Linked DNA regions of Oryzias latipes. The protein of the gene in region 1 interacts with the protein of each later gene in a pairwise test. Links are inferred from orthologs where the notes say so. Each region holds a gene or a part of one and is shown on either strand. Other genes may lie near its edges. The genes, in order: nav2, E3 SUMO-protein ligase PIAS2, rbm15 and ing5.

What was found.
Region 2: the proteins of nav2 (region 1) and E3 SUMO-protein ligase PIAS2 interact in binary tests that used the Homo sapiens proteins (3 or more experiments, as listed by UniProt). The two-hybrid records come from large-scale screens. The link is inferred for Oryzias latipes from reciprocal best matches to the Homo sapiens genes NAV2 and PIAS2.
Region 3: the proteins of nav2 (region 1) and rbm15 interact in binary tests that used the Homo sapiens proteins (3 or more experiments, as listed by UniProt). The two-hybrid records come from large-scale screens. The link is inferred for Oryzias latipes from reciprocal best matches to the Homo sapiens genes NAV2 and RBM15.
Region 4: the proteins of nav2 (region 1) and ing5 interact in binary tests that used the Homo sapiens proteins (3 or more experiments, as listed by UniProt). The two-hybrid records come from large-scale screens. The link is inferred for Oryzias latipes from reciprocal best matches to the Homo sapiens genes NAV2 and ING5.

What each region holds. Positions count from the first base shown.
Region 1 is NC_019861.2:6,357,102-6,360,663, reverse strand, and holds part of nav2 (neuron navigator 2), read right to left. Parts: intron 2,570-3,562; coding exon 2,460-2,569; intron 2,380-2,459; coding exon 2,271-2,379; intron 654-2,270; coding exon 240-653; intron 1-239. UniProt on the Homo sapiens protein: Possesses 3' to 5' helicase activity and exonuclease activity. Involved in neuronal development, specifically in the development of different sensory organs.
Region 2 is NC_019867.2:30,488,393-30,492,698, reverse strand, and holds the end of E3 SUMO-protein ligase PIAS2, read right to left. Parts: intron 3,528-4,306; coding exon 3,388-3,527; intron 3,300-3,387; coding exon 3,262-3,299; intron 2,908-3,261; coding exon 2,692-2,907; 3' UTR 2,415-2,691; coding exon of another isoform or gene 2,354-2,414; 3' UTR 2,244-2,353; coding exon of another isoform or gene 2,167-2,243; 3' UTR 2,112-2,166; coding exon of another isoform or gene 2,002-2,111; 3' UTR 1,716-2,001; coding exon of another isoform or gene 1,289-1,715; 3' UTR 561-1,288; downstream 1-560. Other genes in the region: uncharacterized protein LOC110015563, read right to left, coding at 1,289-1,715, 2,002-2,111, 2,167-2,243, 2,354-2,414. UniProt on the Homo sapiens protein: Functions as an E3-type small ubiquitin-like modifier (SUMO) ligase, stabilizing the interaction between UBE2I and the substrate, and as a SUMO-tethering factor.
Region 3 is NC_019865.2:10,859,758-10,863,951, forward strand, and holds the start of rbm15 (putative RNA-binding protein 15), read left to right. Parts: upstream 1-1,368; 5' UTR 1,369-1,532; coding exon 1,533-4,070; 3' UTR 4,071-4,194. UniProt on the Homo sapiens protein: RNA-binding protein that acts as a key regulator of N6-methyladenosine (m6A) methylation of RNAs, thereby regulating different processes, such as hematopoietic cell homeostasis, alternative splicing of mRNAs and X chromosome inactivation mediated by Xist RNA.
Region 4 is NC_019862.2:3,240,741-3,244,824, forward strand, and holds the end of ing5 (inhibitor of growth protein 5), read left to right. Parts: coding exon 1-65; intron 66-164; coding exon 165-276; intron 277-350; coding exon 351-450; intron 451-553; coding exon 554-689; intron 690-765; coding exon 766-827; intron 828-2,517; coding exon 2,518-2,557; 3' UTR 2,558-3,554; downstream 3,555-4,084. Other genes in the region: cep19 (centrosomal protein of 19 kDa), read right to left, coding at 3,775-4,084. UniProt on the Homo sapiens protein: Component of the HBO1 complex, which specifically mediates acetylation of histone H3 at 'Lys-14' (H3K14ac) and, to a lower extent, acetylation of histone H4. Component of the MOZ/MORF complex which has a histone H3 acetyltransferase activity.

The DNA.
Region 1 (3,562 bases):
CTTATCTGTTTGCTCAGCTGTTGGACAGGACAAGTTTAAAAAAATCAACATAAAAAAGACAAGTTTACCAAAACAAAGCTCCATCAATGTTATTAAACTACAACCAGAGTATCATTACTTTTTAAAACTAAAGTCTCCCATAAGATTGTTTTTCTTAAACATTTAAGATTGTTATTTTGCCCTTTAGGTTGTTTACATTTTTTTGTAGTCATTGGTCTCAATGTATGACATAAGCTTACCCGCTGGTGACATCATCAGTGCGCACAGCATTCTTGCTCAACACGTCTCCGTCGCTCATGTATCCCGTCACCTCCATGGCGACCCCGTCCAGCTCAATGTCCCCCGCAGCTCTGTCGCCGAGGTCCAAGCTGCACAGAGCTCCTCCCCTGCCAGCCAGCTGTCTCCGGAGGTGCCCAGGGTACAGGTAGCGTCCTGCCTGTCCGCCAGCTATCCGAGCACCGTAGCCATTGCCCAATGAAGGAGCGTCGCCTGCCTGCAGACGAGGGCTGGACTGGCCCAACCTCCATGGCGACAGTGAGGAGCGGGCAGAAGAAAGGCTGAGGATACTTCGACCACCTGCGCTGTTGTTATTGCTGCCTCCACTGCTGCTGATGTCTGTGGTGATGCTGCCATCAAAGGTGGTTTCTAAGCTGCTGACACAGAAAGAGAGGAGGTTTAGGATGTAGAATTTAGGAAGCTTAATATGTTCTCACTTACTGAGAAAAATTCCTACAGTTAAATGAGGTTAATGAAAATTGGGTTTTTATTATGTTCTTGTGACATTTTTCTGATGATGGAGGACATATATAGAGAAAATTAAGCTCAAACTTGCATTTCTGAGTATTTCTTTATTAAAATAATTGTAAATCGGGATCAGATGAAAATCAAATGCTGTTTGAAAAATGTCCTATTTGTTACACAGAAAATACTCTAAATGGGCCTCAAGCTCCCTGTTCCACTTCATTCTGATGCATCCACTTGCAAACAAATAGTTCCATGTCCGTCTTTGTTTTCCTCGTCTGAGCTGGAAACAGATTACTCAGAGTGGAAGGGGACGTAGTTTCTCCGCACCAACAGTCCTGCCCGCAACAATTTCTAATGAACAACTAGAACTATGTTCTAGAAAACAACACGTTTTGTTTGTGGCTAAAAAAGCAAAATCATACTTAGGAGACACTTTTAAAATATGACCAAAAGATGACCAGAGTGGGACTTTTAGGTGAACAGGCAAGTGTTTTATCAGACTAAGGTTGCGTTTAAAGTCCTTCATTGCTCACTACATAGTGTGTTCGCCATTTTGCAGTGCTGTCCGAAACTACAATTCCAAAATTGAGTGCCCTAGAAATTTCCCACAAGTCTCTGGGAAAAACCAGAGTGCATTGATGCTCACTAGATTGGCGACTATAGACCACAATGGATTGATCGATTTTTCATGTGCAAATATATGAATTTGAATATATTTTTTTAAACCATCCATGTTTTTCACCAAAACACAGTGGAGTTTAAATAGTGGATAAATTTTATTTGTAAAATGTTTGTATTCATTAGGTTTTTACTTTTAGAAATTGGTGATGTCATATTTACTATAAAAATAAATATATATATATATATATATATATATATATATATATATATATATATATATATATATATATATATATATATTCTGAATTACTTTTAAAATCTAGGGCACTAGATGGTCCTGCACTATATAGTTTTTTAGTAGTCTGGGAGCAGGGAGGGAATTCAGACATAACCTTAATGTTAAAAAATAGAAGACAACAGCTATCTTTAGTTTTATGCAACGTCAGACATCAGAGCTCCGTCCTGTGATCAAAGAGGTTACGAGACAGGAGAGTTTATACCCGCAAATAAAGACCATATCTACTGACTCATTCTCTGCTGTTCTGAATTCAGTCATTTGAGGCACAGCACTCTATGAAACACAAGAGTTTTGTTTCCAGAGCAGAAGAATTCATGAAGTTCTGAAGTTTTGAACACACAAAGCTTACCACAGCTAATTATAATCAAAAATCCCCTCACGCCGTATGCCGCTAATTTGCAATGTACCTTTTAATCTAGGACTACACTTAATTTAGCATCACCTGGAAAGGAAGAATATATTTTTATATAATTGGAAACAAAATTAGGCATTAAGGGGTTAATACAATGTTCCTTGACTGAAACAAAAAAAAACAATTTCATTAAGAATTCTTTTTATCGACTGACAGTGAGATCAGTTTCTTGCGAGAAGATGACTCGGACTTTACCTATGCGTGACCTGAGTTCCTCGGAGACTGGACATGGTCTCCTCCAGGTTTTGCCGCAGGTCTGCGATGTTTTTGACAGTACGCAGCCGTCTCGTTTCTGGATCTTCACCTGGGTTGCATGCATAAAACAATTTTAGAAAACATCAATTGACAACTGACTTCCATGCACTTGCTGCAGCGACTTCCTACCTGAAAGGTCTTCCATGGGGGTATGGTTGGTTTTGGTGCAGGAGGCGTCTCCACTTCCTCCCCAAGAACTGTTCCCGCCGTCCTCTGTTCCGTCTTCATCTGTTTGGGATCTGAAAAAGGACATTGTGCAAGCAATGAAAGTCCTGAATCGGAATTACTAAGAACTTCGTGGGAACCTAATTTTCAGAAAGTTGCCACAAAGGAGGGATAAACCTGATTACGACTCCAATCTGCAGCGTTTAGGTCTTATGACTGTGTTCCACAACAAATGCCTGCTAAGGCATCAGAAAGATTTGTTGTAGAAGGATATTTCGACAGAGCTTTTCCATTGCACTGCCTGTTTCCCTTTCAGACATCTAAGTGCCTCGGCTGAACACAGCTGTTCGTCCAGAATTTGTCCTAATGTAATTCTCTATGACCGCGAGCCAGAAGGAGTTACTGGAGGCTGCTCCTCTGAAAACCTCTGACTCACTAAAAAAATAGATTTTGATCTGTTTGTTGTCAGAAATTGTTGTTTTATGTATGTAAAGACACACCACACATGTACATTCCTGAATGTAGATGTTCCGATATATATACTTGTAAGTGTATTAATACTTGTAAGTGTATTGTTGTGCGACAAGTGTGTGAAGTTTGCAGTTCAAAAGTGTTTGAGGACAGAGAGAATAAACACAAACGGCATCAGGAGGACTGATGAGGACTTTGGTCAAAGAAAAAAAAATAGAACTATTTTATTTAGGAAGTAAACACCAGGTTTTTACATAAATTTTTTTTTTTTTTTTCAATCTTAGTGTTCTCAGACGCAGAGCTTTACATTCATCTGTGAAATCTAAAAGGTTAACTGTTTCAATGAAGATAGATGCTTTACACCAGTGGAGGCTGCGGTACCGGTCTGTGGGACAGTTGGTATTATCAAAATTTGAACTGTAATTGTTACATTCGTCCATTACTGACAAAAGTAATTAAATTACAGTAATTTTTTACTTTGTAATCCATCACCTCCAACACTTTGCATTCCTACAGTTGCTCCCGCACACCATTATATTAATGCATAATCTTCAACAACCGTCTGATGTTACAAGATTGCTGCTAATAAAGTTGTT
Region 2 (4,306 bases), on another chromosome or scaffold:
GTCGGCCAATGAGCCCAGCCCACTGGCGTTGTGTCCTTGGGCAAGGGACTTGACCCTCCTGTCCTATAGTGTTGCCTTCACTGGTGTGTGAATGTCCCAGGGATGGTCAAAGGGGCTGTAGGCGTGAACTGGTAGCCACGCCTCTGTCAGTCCGCCCCAGGTGATGGTAGCTACTGATGTAGCCACAGCTGCCCCAGGGGCAGCTGTGGCTACATCAGTAGCTACCATCACCAAGGATGAATGAATGACGGACACATCGTAAGAACTTTGAGCATCTGGAAAAGTGCAGATAAATCCAATTCCTTCTTATTATTATGGTCATCTCTTGAGTCAGAGGGAGCAGGTGAGGCACGTAGATGCTGAGATGAAACCCAAAACGGCCAACACTCCCTCCTCCTCTACAAAAACAGAAGCACAGACTGGAACCTGAGGAACTGCAGGGAAGGAAGACTGCGGGGTTACAGATGAAGGACTTGAGGAGGAGGAGCCGAGGTTCAGATAAGACCAGCTTCATGAGTGAGGAAGAGGCTCCAACAAGAGAAATCAAACAAGAACCTGTGTTTGGAAAAAGCTTAACTAGACCATTTATTGAGGTTTCAGACAGAACAGAAAAAGCAGCTTGTGGTTCAGTTCAGTTGGCTTCTGCTCTAAACCGGACCTCTGGTTCTGGCCGTTGGCGTGCAGAGATGCTCCGGGCTTCAGTCTGACTTAATTCAGTCATGTGATCACGGGAAGTGACGGGCATGCTTTCAGAGAGTGAACACCTGTTAACATCTCCACATACTTCCACAGACATCAATGCTGCTCATAGCTTTGGGGCAAACAGAGGATCAATCTCTGGAGTGGGAGGTAAACACGAGGAGAACCCACTGTCAGAACATTAGACATCAGAACATGCAGCCGAAGGGGAAACCTGAGATGTCCACGAGTCCAACCTGCTCGCAGGAACATACATGATCTCATCGCTGGAGCTCAGGAGCCTTTCTGAAAATAATAATGATGTGAGAAAAATAACAGCTGTAAAAGAAAAGTCTGAGAGTGAAGAGCTGGTGTTTAATGGACTTCTGGTTCCTGAGACGGAGCTTCTGCAGCTCTGAGGATGTAGTGCAGCCGCTGCTGTGGTCCTAAAGGAGGGGGGAGTCAGCAGGACCTCAGGTAAATGTGGATAAAGACACCTAAGAGTCAGCTCGCTTCCTCCAACCACAAGGTAATGCTCTTTAAGCCGAGAACAAAGTTCAGGCAGCTACTGCTGGACCAGCAGGACCCGTTCATGGACCACAGGCTGCACTCAGAACGCTTGACTCACCCTGGAATGACAAGAACATCTAGTCTGATTGATGTGGATGTCTGCTATCACACGCATCTGAAGTCCGTCTACAGCCTGCCTGTGATCCTCCTGCGGTCGGTTTACAGCCCGCCTGCGATTCTTCTGCGATCCGTCTGAGCCTGCTTGCAATCCTTCTGCCACTTGCCTGCAGCCTCCCAGCGGTCCATCTGCAGCCTGTCTACAGCATGCCTCGCTATCAGTCTGCAGTCCGTCTACAGCCTGCCTGCGATCCGTCTGCAGTCCCTCTACAGCCTGCCTGCGATCCGTCTGCAGTCCCTCTACAGCCTGCCTGCGATCCGTCTGCAGTCCGTCTACAGCCTGCCTGCGATCCGTCTGCAGTCCGTCTACAGCCTGCCTGCGATCCGTCTGCAGTCCCTCTACAGCCTGCCTGCGATCCGTCTGCAGTCCGTCTACAGCCTGCCTGCGATCCGTCTGCAGTCCGTCTACAGCCTGCTTGCGATCCTTCTGCCGCTTGCCTGCAGCCTCCCAGCGGTCCGCCTATAGTCCGTCTACAGCATGCCTGCGATCAGTCTGCAGTCCGTCTACAGCCTGCCTGCGATCCCTCTGCAGTCTGTCTACAGCCTGCCTGCGATCCGTCTGCAGCCTGCTTGCGATCCTTCTGCCGCTTGCCTGCAGCCTCCCAGGGGTCCGCCTGCAGTCCGTCTACAGCCTGCCTGCGATCCGTCTGCAGTCCGTCTACAGCCTGCCTGCGATCCGTCTGCAGTCCGTCTACAGCCTGCTTGCGATCCTTCTGCCGCTTGCCTGCAGCCTCCCAGCGGTCCGCCTATAGTCCGTCTACAGCATGCCTGCGATCAGTCTGCAGTCCGTCTACAGCCTGCCTGCGATCCCTCTGCAGTCTGTCTACAGCCTGCCTGCGATCCGTCTGCAGCCTGCTTGCGATCCTTCTGCCGCTTGCCTGCAGCCTCCCAGGGGTCCGCCTATAGTCCGTCTACAGCATGCCTGCGATCAGTCTACAGTCCGTCTACAGCCTGCCTGCGATCCGTCTGCAGTCCGTCTACAGCATGCCTGCGATCAGTCTGCAGTCTGTCTGCGGTTCGTCTGCGGCCTGCATGGAACAGGCTCGCATTACAGTCCTAAAATCAATTCTGTGTGCAATAACCCAACAAACATCCATTTGATGTCCCAGCCACAGAGGAGGCGGGCTTCCAGTTCCTCAGGTTAGCACATCTTAGTGCTGCTCAGAATGAGAGGAGCGTCCAATACTTGAACCTGAGCCGGTGTCAGAGCCCCAGAGTAGGGAGGGAGAACCTTTCATCCGGTGTGGAGTGTAGTGAACTCTCAGAGGCTTCAGTCTGTGCGGCCTGACAGTCCAAGCCCAGGACCAGGAGGAGAGCGGGCCGTTTTCAGTCCAGGGAGATGACATCCGACATGCTGCTGCTCACTCCTCCTCCTGCCCCACCTCCTCCTCCTCCTCCTGCGATGACCCGAGCCTCGTGGATGGAGCCGTCAGCGTGGAGGCTGCTGCCGTACAGACTGCTGGAGGAGGAGCTGCTGGCGGAGACGGTGGCGCTCTGAATGCTCTCCGTCAGGTTTCCCAGGAACATCTGCGGCCGGTAATGCTGAGCAGACAGAGGGCAGCGTCAGCGTCAACCACTTCTGATCCAATGATCCTTCAGGTATTTAGACTCAGTAAACTCAGTAAAAGTCAGACTGAAGCTCAGGTGTGGATCACTGTTACCCTGAAGGCAACAGAGACAACCAGGGTGACGTGAAGCATCCCTCCATGACCACATGGTTTTGAGTGGAAGGGGAGGGACTAGGGGTATAACGATGAATCGATTTATTCTCCTACGATCAACGATCCGTCTGAAGCAAGTTGTTAATCAAATCGACCAAAACCAAACGGCTTCTAAATGACATAAATAATAATCAATCTTGGAAAACGCCATTTTGGTTGACATAAGTTCATTTACCTGTGAGTCTGCTTGAATTAAAGAAAACAAATCCAGACCTGCAGAGGAGAAAACAGACAGACCGGTTAGATTCCCACCTGTGGACTTCCTGGAAACGTTACTTGTGGTTCAGAGGAGAAGACTCACTCTGCATGTCTGCAGGGATGGTGGCCAGGGCCGACGGGTGGTAAGGCACCGCATAGTCAGCGAGGGTGGAGCTGAGGTACGAGGGCGCGTCCAGGGTTGGCATGGTGGGCATGCGCACGGTGGGCTGGTACGCCAACACCCTGACAGGAAACCAGCACAGAGCGTTAGGTCAGCGGCCTTCAGCCTCATCCAGGCCATGCACCCTGACTATCAGCATCATTAGACAGCCGGTTGCTGAACCTTATGCATTCATTATTATTATTATGGTCTGTGGGAACAACGGTCACAATAAATCCATATTTGGAGTAAAGATTCCTGGTTTTTGTCTGTTGAAAAGATTTATTTTATTTTGAAGTCAAAGGCTTCTGTTTCCTCACTGGACTTTTTCTGCAAACAGAAAATTTCTAAATGTTTTTGTTTTTGTCAACTTTGCTAAATTGAGGGTTTGAATTCAGTGGAGACACTTTAAAAAAAAAAAAGTAGCGGATGTATTTTCAACTAAGACAAAATGTTGTGGTTTTTCAAAATGAAACGTCCCTCAGGATCAGATTATAATTAAAAACAGAAAAATGAAGGTCGTGTTTTGTTCCTCATAACTGTCCCGCAGACTGGTACCGGTCCGTGGACTACAACTTTGGAGAATGGGGGGAGAAGAAGACCAACCCGCCCCAAAAATGAGGCTTCGTGAAAGTGAAGAGGTTGATGGTCGTATCTGCTAGAACATGCCCCCCCCCCCCCCCCCCCCCACACACACACAGCAGAAGCTCATGACAGGTGACTCTTCATCCCTTCATGAACTGCAGCTGCTGCTTTCAGACCTTCGTGTTTCTGGAGGAAGTCAGGGAGAATCTGAGGGTAAAAACACTGCTTTCATTTTGGAGATGACAACAATGACTGTGTGACTGTAGTCTGAAGCGTA
Region 3 (4,194 bases), on another chromosome or scaffold:
AAGGCTTGGGGTAAATTTGACTTCCTATTTTTCCTTCAGACCTTTTGACCACTTCCATCTTGTGGTACATTAAAGAACACCTGTCTTCCGTTAAAAGCAAATTCGAATGATGCCTGATACACTTTACACCTCAAATTCAGAACACACACACATACATACAGTAAAACAAAATGAAAAATGAATAAAAATTTTAAATCATACTTCCAGTTTCACTACTTTCTGGACACTTGCAAAGAGGCTTCCGATTTAGAAAATAAATCATATGGAACATGTCCATGTGTTTTTGTTTGTATCTTTTAATATTCAGTTAATATGTTGATATTTGGGTCATTCCAGAACTGGAGGACATTTGGGCTGCAAAATTCATGAAGAGCAAACTTTGACTTTTCTAATTCTCTGCTATATAATCGTCAATAAAAGGTAATATCTGTCAAAGGCTTGATTAACTTTGCTTACAGATCAACTGCGAAATATTTATGACATTATATTGATGATGACAAGACTTGATGCAACCTTGTTATCAATTTTTGCAAGTAACAGGGTTGCAAACATGTATTAATATTGACTTTCTCTCAGGAGTAGACGCTAGTTGTTTAGCTGTCACTGAGTACCAATAAGAAAATTAATGTGATTTCAATGGCATGCCTTTTTGCATTTCTGACCACCCCAGAATGAATGGTGATATCTTGTTTTTCTCAGTTGCTACTTTACATGCTAATTTGATTGCTTACTTACTCATAAAAAAGCAACAACAATAACAATAATTGTCTTACTCTGATTATAGGGAAACAGGGTTGCATGAGGCGGAGTGAGACATTCAATCTAGGATAACTATGTGTTAAAAATAAAAGATCCACGTAACTTTTGCTCTACCCATTCTTTTTGAATACTGTTTGATGATGTCAAGTCCAGCATATCACTCTTTGCTATATTCTAACCCTCTTACCTGTTATGGTAAAAGGAATTGTGTGGATTCGGTGGGAAACACATTGTATTGATCATAAATAATATTTGAAATACTTCTTTTATTTAAAAAAATCCCACGGTTACATAAAACACCAATCAAAACAAGATATACCAAAAACTGAATCTAAAATTTAATTTTAACTGCTTTTATTGAAGATTTAATTTGGACAATGGGGGACGGGACAAGAAAAAATGCATTTTAGGGGGTACATTGAGCTTATTTGGCATTTTTTAAATTATTTTCAGTAATTATTTTCACTTAGTTTTGCATGTGGATTATTTAAAATAGGTTTATTCTGAAATGACCCATTTTTTAATCCATCGCTGTGTGCGTGATTGACGGGATTTTAAAAGGTTTTAACCAATCGCCGCCCCCCAAACACCGGCCAATCAGCGCATGGAGGCGGGTCTTCTCACAAATCTTAACAAAATGGCGACTGTTGTTGTTTTGCCGCAGGGTCGGTAAATAAATTCTTTGAACGTATTGGATATTTTCTACATTATTTTGTGGAAGGAGTGCAGGAAAAAGCCAGTTACCACAAAGAGTTTACTCTTCGTGGGCTGCAATGAAAGGAAAGGAGCGGTCGCCGATTAAAAAACGGTCCCGGGCCTTGGACGACATTCGAGAGAGGGGAGGATGCCACCCGACCAGCAAGAAAATGGGGGCTCTCTCCGTTTCCAGTGGGAGTAATAATGGAAACAGTTCGTCCAAAAGCGACAGCGGCTCAACGAGACGGAGCTTGTTGGGTGAGAAAAGGGACAGAGATTTTGAGGGCCATAGTCGGACTGGAAATAATCACAGCTGTCAGTCTGCTGCTTCCAGCTCCGTGGGTAAAAACCACAACCTGAGCCTGTCGCTAGACCTAGCCTCCCCGCGAGCCTCTTCGCGCGCGGAGCAGCGTGTTCCGCCGCCCAGCACCGAGAGTGAGTACAAAACACTCAAAATCAGCGACCTTGGGAATCAGCTGAGCGAGGAGGATATAGAAGATGGGCTTTTTCATGAATTCAAAAAGTTTGGCGACGTGAGCGTCAAAATTAGTCGCAGCAACGACGAACGGATTGCTTTCGTTAACTTCAGGAAGCCGGAGGACGCCAGGGCTGCTAAACACGCCAGAGGCCGGCTCGTGCTCTACGACCGGCCGCTGAAGATCGAGGCCGTTTACACGAGCAGGAGGAGAAGCCGCTCCCCCGTGGAGAGGGACTTGTACAGCGCAGCACAAAGTCACAGACACTTGCAGAGACCCCTGTCGCCCACCGGCCTGGGTTACAGAGACTACCGGCTGCAGCAGCTGGCTTTGGGACGGCTCCCTCCTCCCCCTCCGCCCCCTCTGCCCAGAGAACTGGACCGGGACAGAGAGTTCGCCCTGTTTGAAGCCAGGGCACGTCCAGCTTTCCTTGCAGAGCGAGCAGCTTTTCGTGAAGAGGATTTAATATCTCCGGAAGACGACCAAAGAGCAAACAGGACTTTGTTTTTAGGCAACTTGGACATAAACATTGCAGAAGCAGACCTCAGGCGGGCTTTCGACAGGTTTGGAGTCATAACAGAGGTGGACATCAAGAGACCATCACGAGGACAGACCAGCACATATGGATTTCTTAAGTTTGAGAACCTTGACATGGCTCATCGTGCTAAGCTTAGCATGTCTGGAAAAATAGTGGGTCGCAACCCTATAAAAATCGGTTACGGAAAAGCAACACCCACGACCCGTTTGTGGGTCGGTGGACTTGGACCGTGGGTTCCTTTAGCTGCCCTGGCCAGAGAATTTGATCGCTTTGGCACTATAAGGACCATTGACTACAGAAAAGGTGACACTTGGGCCTACATCCAGTATGAAAGTTTAGATGCTGCTCAAGCAGCATGGACACACATGAGAGGCTTTCCGCTGGGAGGCCCAGAGAGAAGACTTCGGGTGGATTTCGCAGACACTGAGCACCGGTACCAGCAGCAGTTCTTGCAGCCTCTCCCTATTCCACCGTTTGACATGGTGGCTGACTCGTTTGTCCACCGCGCCACGCCTGAACCTCTGAGAGTCAGAGATCGGACTCCACCTCCACTTCACTTCAGGGACAGAGAACTCTTTCCAGCAACGGAGTGGCCCAACCCGGCCATTCGTGAGCGGGTCCGGGGATCCCCCTTTGAGCCTCTGGAACATTTGGAACGCGACCGGAGAACTCGAGAGCCTTGGTCTTTGGAGCGTGAGCTGCAAGGGCGAGAACCAGGACGTAAGAGACGCTTATTGGAGGATGGCCGTCACCTAGATCACTCTCCTGACAGCACTGAGAGGACAGTGAGACGTAGACGTTCTTCTCCAGATGGCAGTCCTGGGGGCAGCAGCAGAGACGGAGGACGTTTCAGTGACTCTGAGCATCCTGTGCACAGTGAAACGGCCTCACCAGCCAGAGAACATGTCATTAGCCTTGAAAGAGGTGGGGCGGATCGAAGGGTTAAAAGCCAGAGTCTTTCTGAGAAAGGACTCTCATCTGCTGGTGAGCGGAAACGCAAAGCGGGCGACAGTGGCAAAGTGCCTGCCAAGAGAGAACGCTCTGAAAGCAGCTCTAAAGGAGCCCAGCAATCCAAACCTGATGGCACCAAACTCATTGTGGCATGGCGCGGAATGCTGCTCCTGAAGAACAGCAACTTTCCAGCCAGCATGCATCTCCTAGAAGGTGACTACGGCGTCGCCAGCGACCTGCTCATCGACGGCTCAACCGGAAGGCAGGTGAGCGAGCTAAAGATCACGCAGCGTCTCCGTCTGGACCAGCCAAAGCTTGATGAGGTGTCTCGGCGCATCAAAGTCGCCGGTCCAGGCGGCTACGCCATCCTGTTGGCAGTTCCTGGAAGCACAGAGGACTCCTCTTCATCTGATCCTATGGCCTCAACCCAGCGGCCCCTTCGCAACCTGGTGTCCTACCTCAACCAAAAACAAGCAGCTGGGGTCATCAGTCTGCCTGTGGGAGGGAGCAGAGATAAAGACAACACAGGGGTTCTTCATGCTTTCCCCCCCTGTGATTTCTCTCAGCAATTCCTGGATTCCTCTGCAAAAGCTCTGGCAAAAAGCGAAGAAGACTATCTGGTCATGATTGTGGTTCGTGGAGCATCTTAAAAAAAAAAAAAGAGAAAAAGTCACAATGCACTATGTTCAAGTGGAATATAAGAAAAAACAAGTCTGCTGTTTGTCAGTAATTATTGCATGCTGTGTTCTGCATTGTGGGGTACACTAGTATGGT
Region 4 (4,084 bases), on another chromosome or scaffold:
CCTACAGCAAGTGCAAGGAGTTCAGTGACGACAAAGTTCAGCTCGCCATGCAAACGTATGAAATGGTGAGCCTTCATGACACGCCTGACAACACGCCACCTTTTTCCTCTCAAGCATGCCTTGTGAACAGAGCCGTTTGAAAGACGTCTTCTTCTGTTCTAAAGGTGGACAAACACATCCGCAGGCTGGATGCAGACCTGGCCCGCTTTGAGAACGAGCTGAAGGAGAAGCTGGAGCTGACCGGCTACGACAGCACCGACAGCAGAACCTTGAAAAGTAAATCCTCCCGCTGGAACCTTCTCGGCCAAAGTTTGCATTGGGGGGCTTATTGTTTGTGACGTTTGACTCAGAAGGTGACTCACGGGGGCAGCGGGACAAGCGTGGATCCAGAGGACGGGGAAAGAAAGGTTCTGACGACGACTCTCCCAAAAAGAAGAAGATGAAAATCAGGTAATGTTGGTTTTTGTAAAGCTCGGGGGGCTCTCACGGTTTTTACTTTCCTCTTTTCATCTTTGTGTTTTTCGGCACACCCCTCCCTTCATGAATGTTTCAGCCAAGACTTGAGCGACGCTCTCCTGCCAATGCAGCCGTCAGACGTTCTGGACATGCCAGTCGATCCCAATGAACCCACCTACTGCCTGTGCCACCAAGTCTCATATGGAGAGATGATTGGATGTGACAACCCAGATGTAGGGTTTTTTATTTGTATATTTTCTTTTATCCTTAAATTTACCCACACTTGATCTCAACCTGTCTTTTTGTTAGTGTCCCATCGAGTGGTTCCACTTTGCCTGCGTTGACCTCGCCACTAAACCAAAAGGAAAATGGTGAGTTGATCCGTCTAACCACTTCAGAATCAAGTTAACCCACTTCCCTGTGGTCGGTTCATGATCTTCTGAGTTCTCAGATAGTTGAGACAGTCGCTGTGGTTCCACGTGCAAAACGTCTTTGATCGGATCAAAGATTGGATTAGAACTGAACTGTGTACATGGCTCAGAATAACTATATCTGATTATGACAAACGTTTACATACGCCACACTTTTTGTCAGAATAAATGGACATGTGCAGGACTGTAGAAAATACCGGAAACTACTGTACAAGAATAAATATTGAGTTCTGTTGTAAACAAACAAAGCTGCAGCGTAGAGCGAGAGGATCTTCTAAACGTGGGAATAAAATCAGCCTTTATTATTTCTGAACATGCCGGTAAACATGAATTCACATGATTGGTGACACGGTTTCTCAGGACTGGACTGCATTTCGGAGACACGGTTCTCCTGAGTCCGGACTGCGGTCCAAAGCCTCCTCCAGAGCGCACACCGTAACAATGCGCCCTCCCCTGTCCGCAAACATGAAGCTACAAGTCCGGCTGCTCTGCTCAGACCAGGGCTCAGCAACCTGAACCTCTCAAAGAGCCATTTGGATCAGTTTCCCACAGAAATGAAAGCACAGGGAGCCGCAACACTAGGGGTGTTAGAAAAGATCGTTTCGCAGATATATCGCGATAGTTCTTTGAGAGACTCCTCTAGAGCGCCATACCGTCTACGCATGACCAAAGACAGCGATCACGGTCACAATAAACTGTTTGTATGCAGCACGATCAGATCAACAATCGGCATAACCCACCTATTTCAGTCGGAAAGAAATTTTGATCCGAATGAGTCTGATCAGTACTGAGTATTCCGAACAGCGTGTTTACATGATGGCTGTAACCGCAGCTAGAGATCTGCCCTTTTAGCAGATGGCATATGATTATGTTGGATTGAAAAACACTTGAGTGGGGTCTTTAGTGTGAAGTAGTAACACTTTATGCCCCCACCATCATAAAGGAACCAGGTTTAAATGGTAAGGGACTCTCTTTCTCCAACACAATAAAGGCGCCCCCCCCCCCTTTTTTTTTTACATGCTACCAGCCAGCTGTTTCAAGCGTGGGAGTTCTCCCAGGGAATCTGGCTTTTTCCAACAGAACGCTTGCATGACAAAGCCATCTGCCGCTCAGCTCCTGCATTTAAACGGAACAAAACCTCTGGATGATTGAAGGAGTGACAGGTTTCTGAAGCGTTTGGTGCGAACGGCAAAAGAACAGAACAACCCCAATCATACTCATGTTTCCCTATGGAACCAGCATTTTCAGTGTGAACTAGCTATAGTTAAAGCTCAATAACATCTAGTTCCACAATCACAGCAACAGACAAGACGTTAGGAATGTTTCATAAGCCTCAGCCAGGTGGATGAAGCGTTAGGACAGAGCGTTCCAGAGTTTGGGAATGCTTGATCCTCTCTGGTTCAAAGAGAAATCCCCAAAAACCTGACCTGCTGGTCTCAGTCTTTCTAAGACGGTTTGTGAATGTTTTTTTTTTTTAACAGCTACAGTTTTGATTTTGTTTTGGGGTCTGAACACTGTTGGTATGTCAGGGGGAAGCTGCATTGCTCCTTACGGACAAATAACTGATTGATCATTTGAATGTTCATCTCATCGACTGGTGTCTAAACTCTGTCTTCCTTTGACATGGCAGGTTTTGTCCGAGGTGCACCCAAGACCGGAAGAAAAAGTAAAAGTTACTGTCAGGAATGCTCAAATGTTTTGCTTTTATGAAATAACATAGCATAGTCACGTGTGCTTACAAATTACCAAGAGAACGGTAGGATTGTTGGGCTTGATTCAGATCAATCTCCTTCCCCATACTGGCTTCATGGTATATCCACAGTGGTTTTAAAGTAAACGCCTTCTGTGCTCAGGGCGAGGTTAGAATACAATCTGGTGAGTAATAAGCTGTGTATGTATACCTTTCCACTCGACTTAAAAAAGTTTAAATCCCACATTCTGGTTGAAGCATACTTGAAGTGTCGGCTCCTGAAAAAACGCTTTTTCTAACCAGAAAGACGATGCCTGCTGAAAAATGTCAAATCTAAACAATGTTAATCTAAACTGCAATAGTGGGGAAAAAAAGGAATGATGTTTTTTTTTTTTGTTACTACCTCCTTTGGATTAACATTTACACTGCAGTTAAATGTGGTGCTTAAAACAAGTACTACTTCTGTTCTTTTTCAATTCGCTCACACCAAGACAAGCACAAAGTTAGAACTCAGACTGTGTCCAAGTCAAAACGCCTACGACATTTTTGAATGTATTGTGGTACTGTGGGTGTCTCCGGTCACCTGAATATGAGGTATTCAAGCACTTTGAAGAAAGTACCCTGAAGAAGTATGATCCTGCAGGCTGGGTGTGATCTGTAGTTCATGAACCTTTGCTGTAACACGTAACCATTGAAAAGTCTGTCGGGCCAATAGAGATGGAAGGGAAACACTGTCCAACCTTCCATGGAACTATATATTTTATACAAGTCAATATTTTGTAGAAATGTTTCCAAAGAGATTTGTTTTATTGTTGAAATACTACTATACATTCAGATTTTATTTAATAGAAGTTTAGATTCTTCCTAATGTTTGACTGAAAATCATGTTTTGTAAGCCACAAATGTTTGAACCAAAGTTTATGTATTTTCTTCAACTCTGTATTTTATAACAAATAAATTTTCACTGGTAATCACAATTTCGGTCCTTTTAGTCTTTATTTGTGTTGCATTTCAAGACGCTGCTGTTGATTCACTTCCCTTCATTCGGTCAGTGGTAACTTTGACAAGAAGGGAGCTTGAGATAATTTCTTCTGACGTGTTCTGGTTTACAGTCATTGGATTAAATGGAAGATGTAGAGGCCTATGGAGATTTTATTTTAGTGTGATTTTGGAGTTGGTGTTCCTTGGCGGGGAGCTTTAAAATCCGTCATCTGACTCATCCCAGCTACAGTTCTCCTGAGGGGCCTTTTCAAAATCCACCTCCAGGTCATAAACAAAGCCTGGATCATCCTTGTGCTTCCTATTTCTCTCAAACTCTCTGTCCATTTGAGCTTTTTTGCGAGCTAGTTCCTTGTCATCTAGTTTGTTGAGGTCCTCGTCCGGGTCCAGGTGGAAGGTGGAGAGGCTGTGCTTCAGGCTCAAACCACGTAGGTGATCCTGGAGGAGGATGTGAAGCTTCTCTAGTTGGCCCTGGGAGACCGCCTCCAGGTAGTCCCTGTGCCGAGGG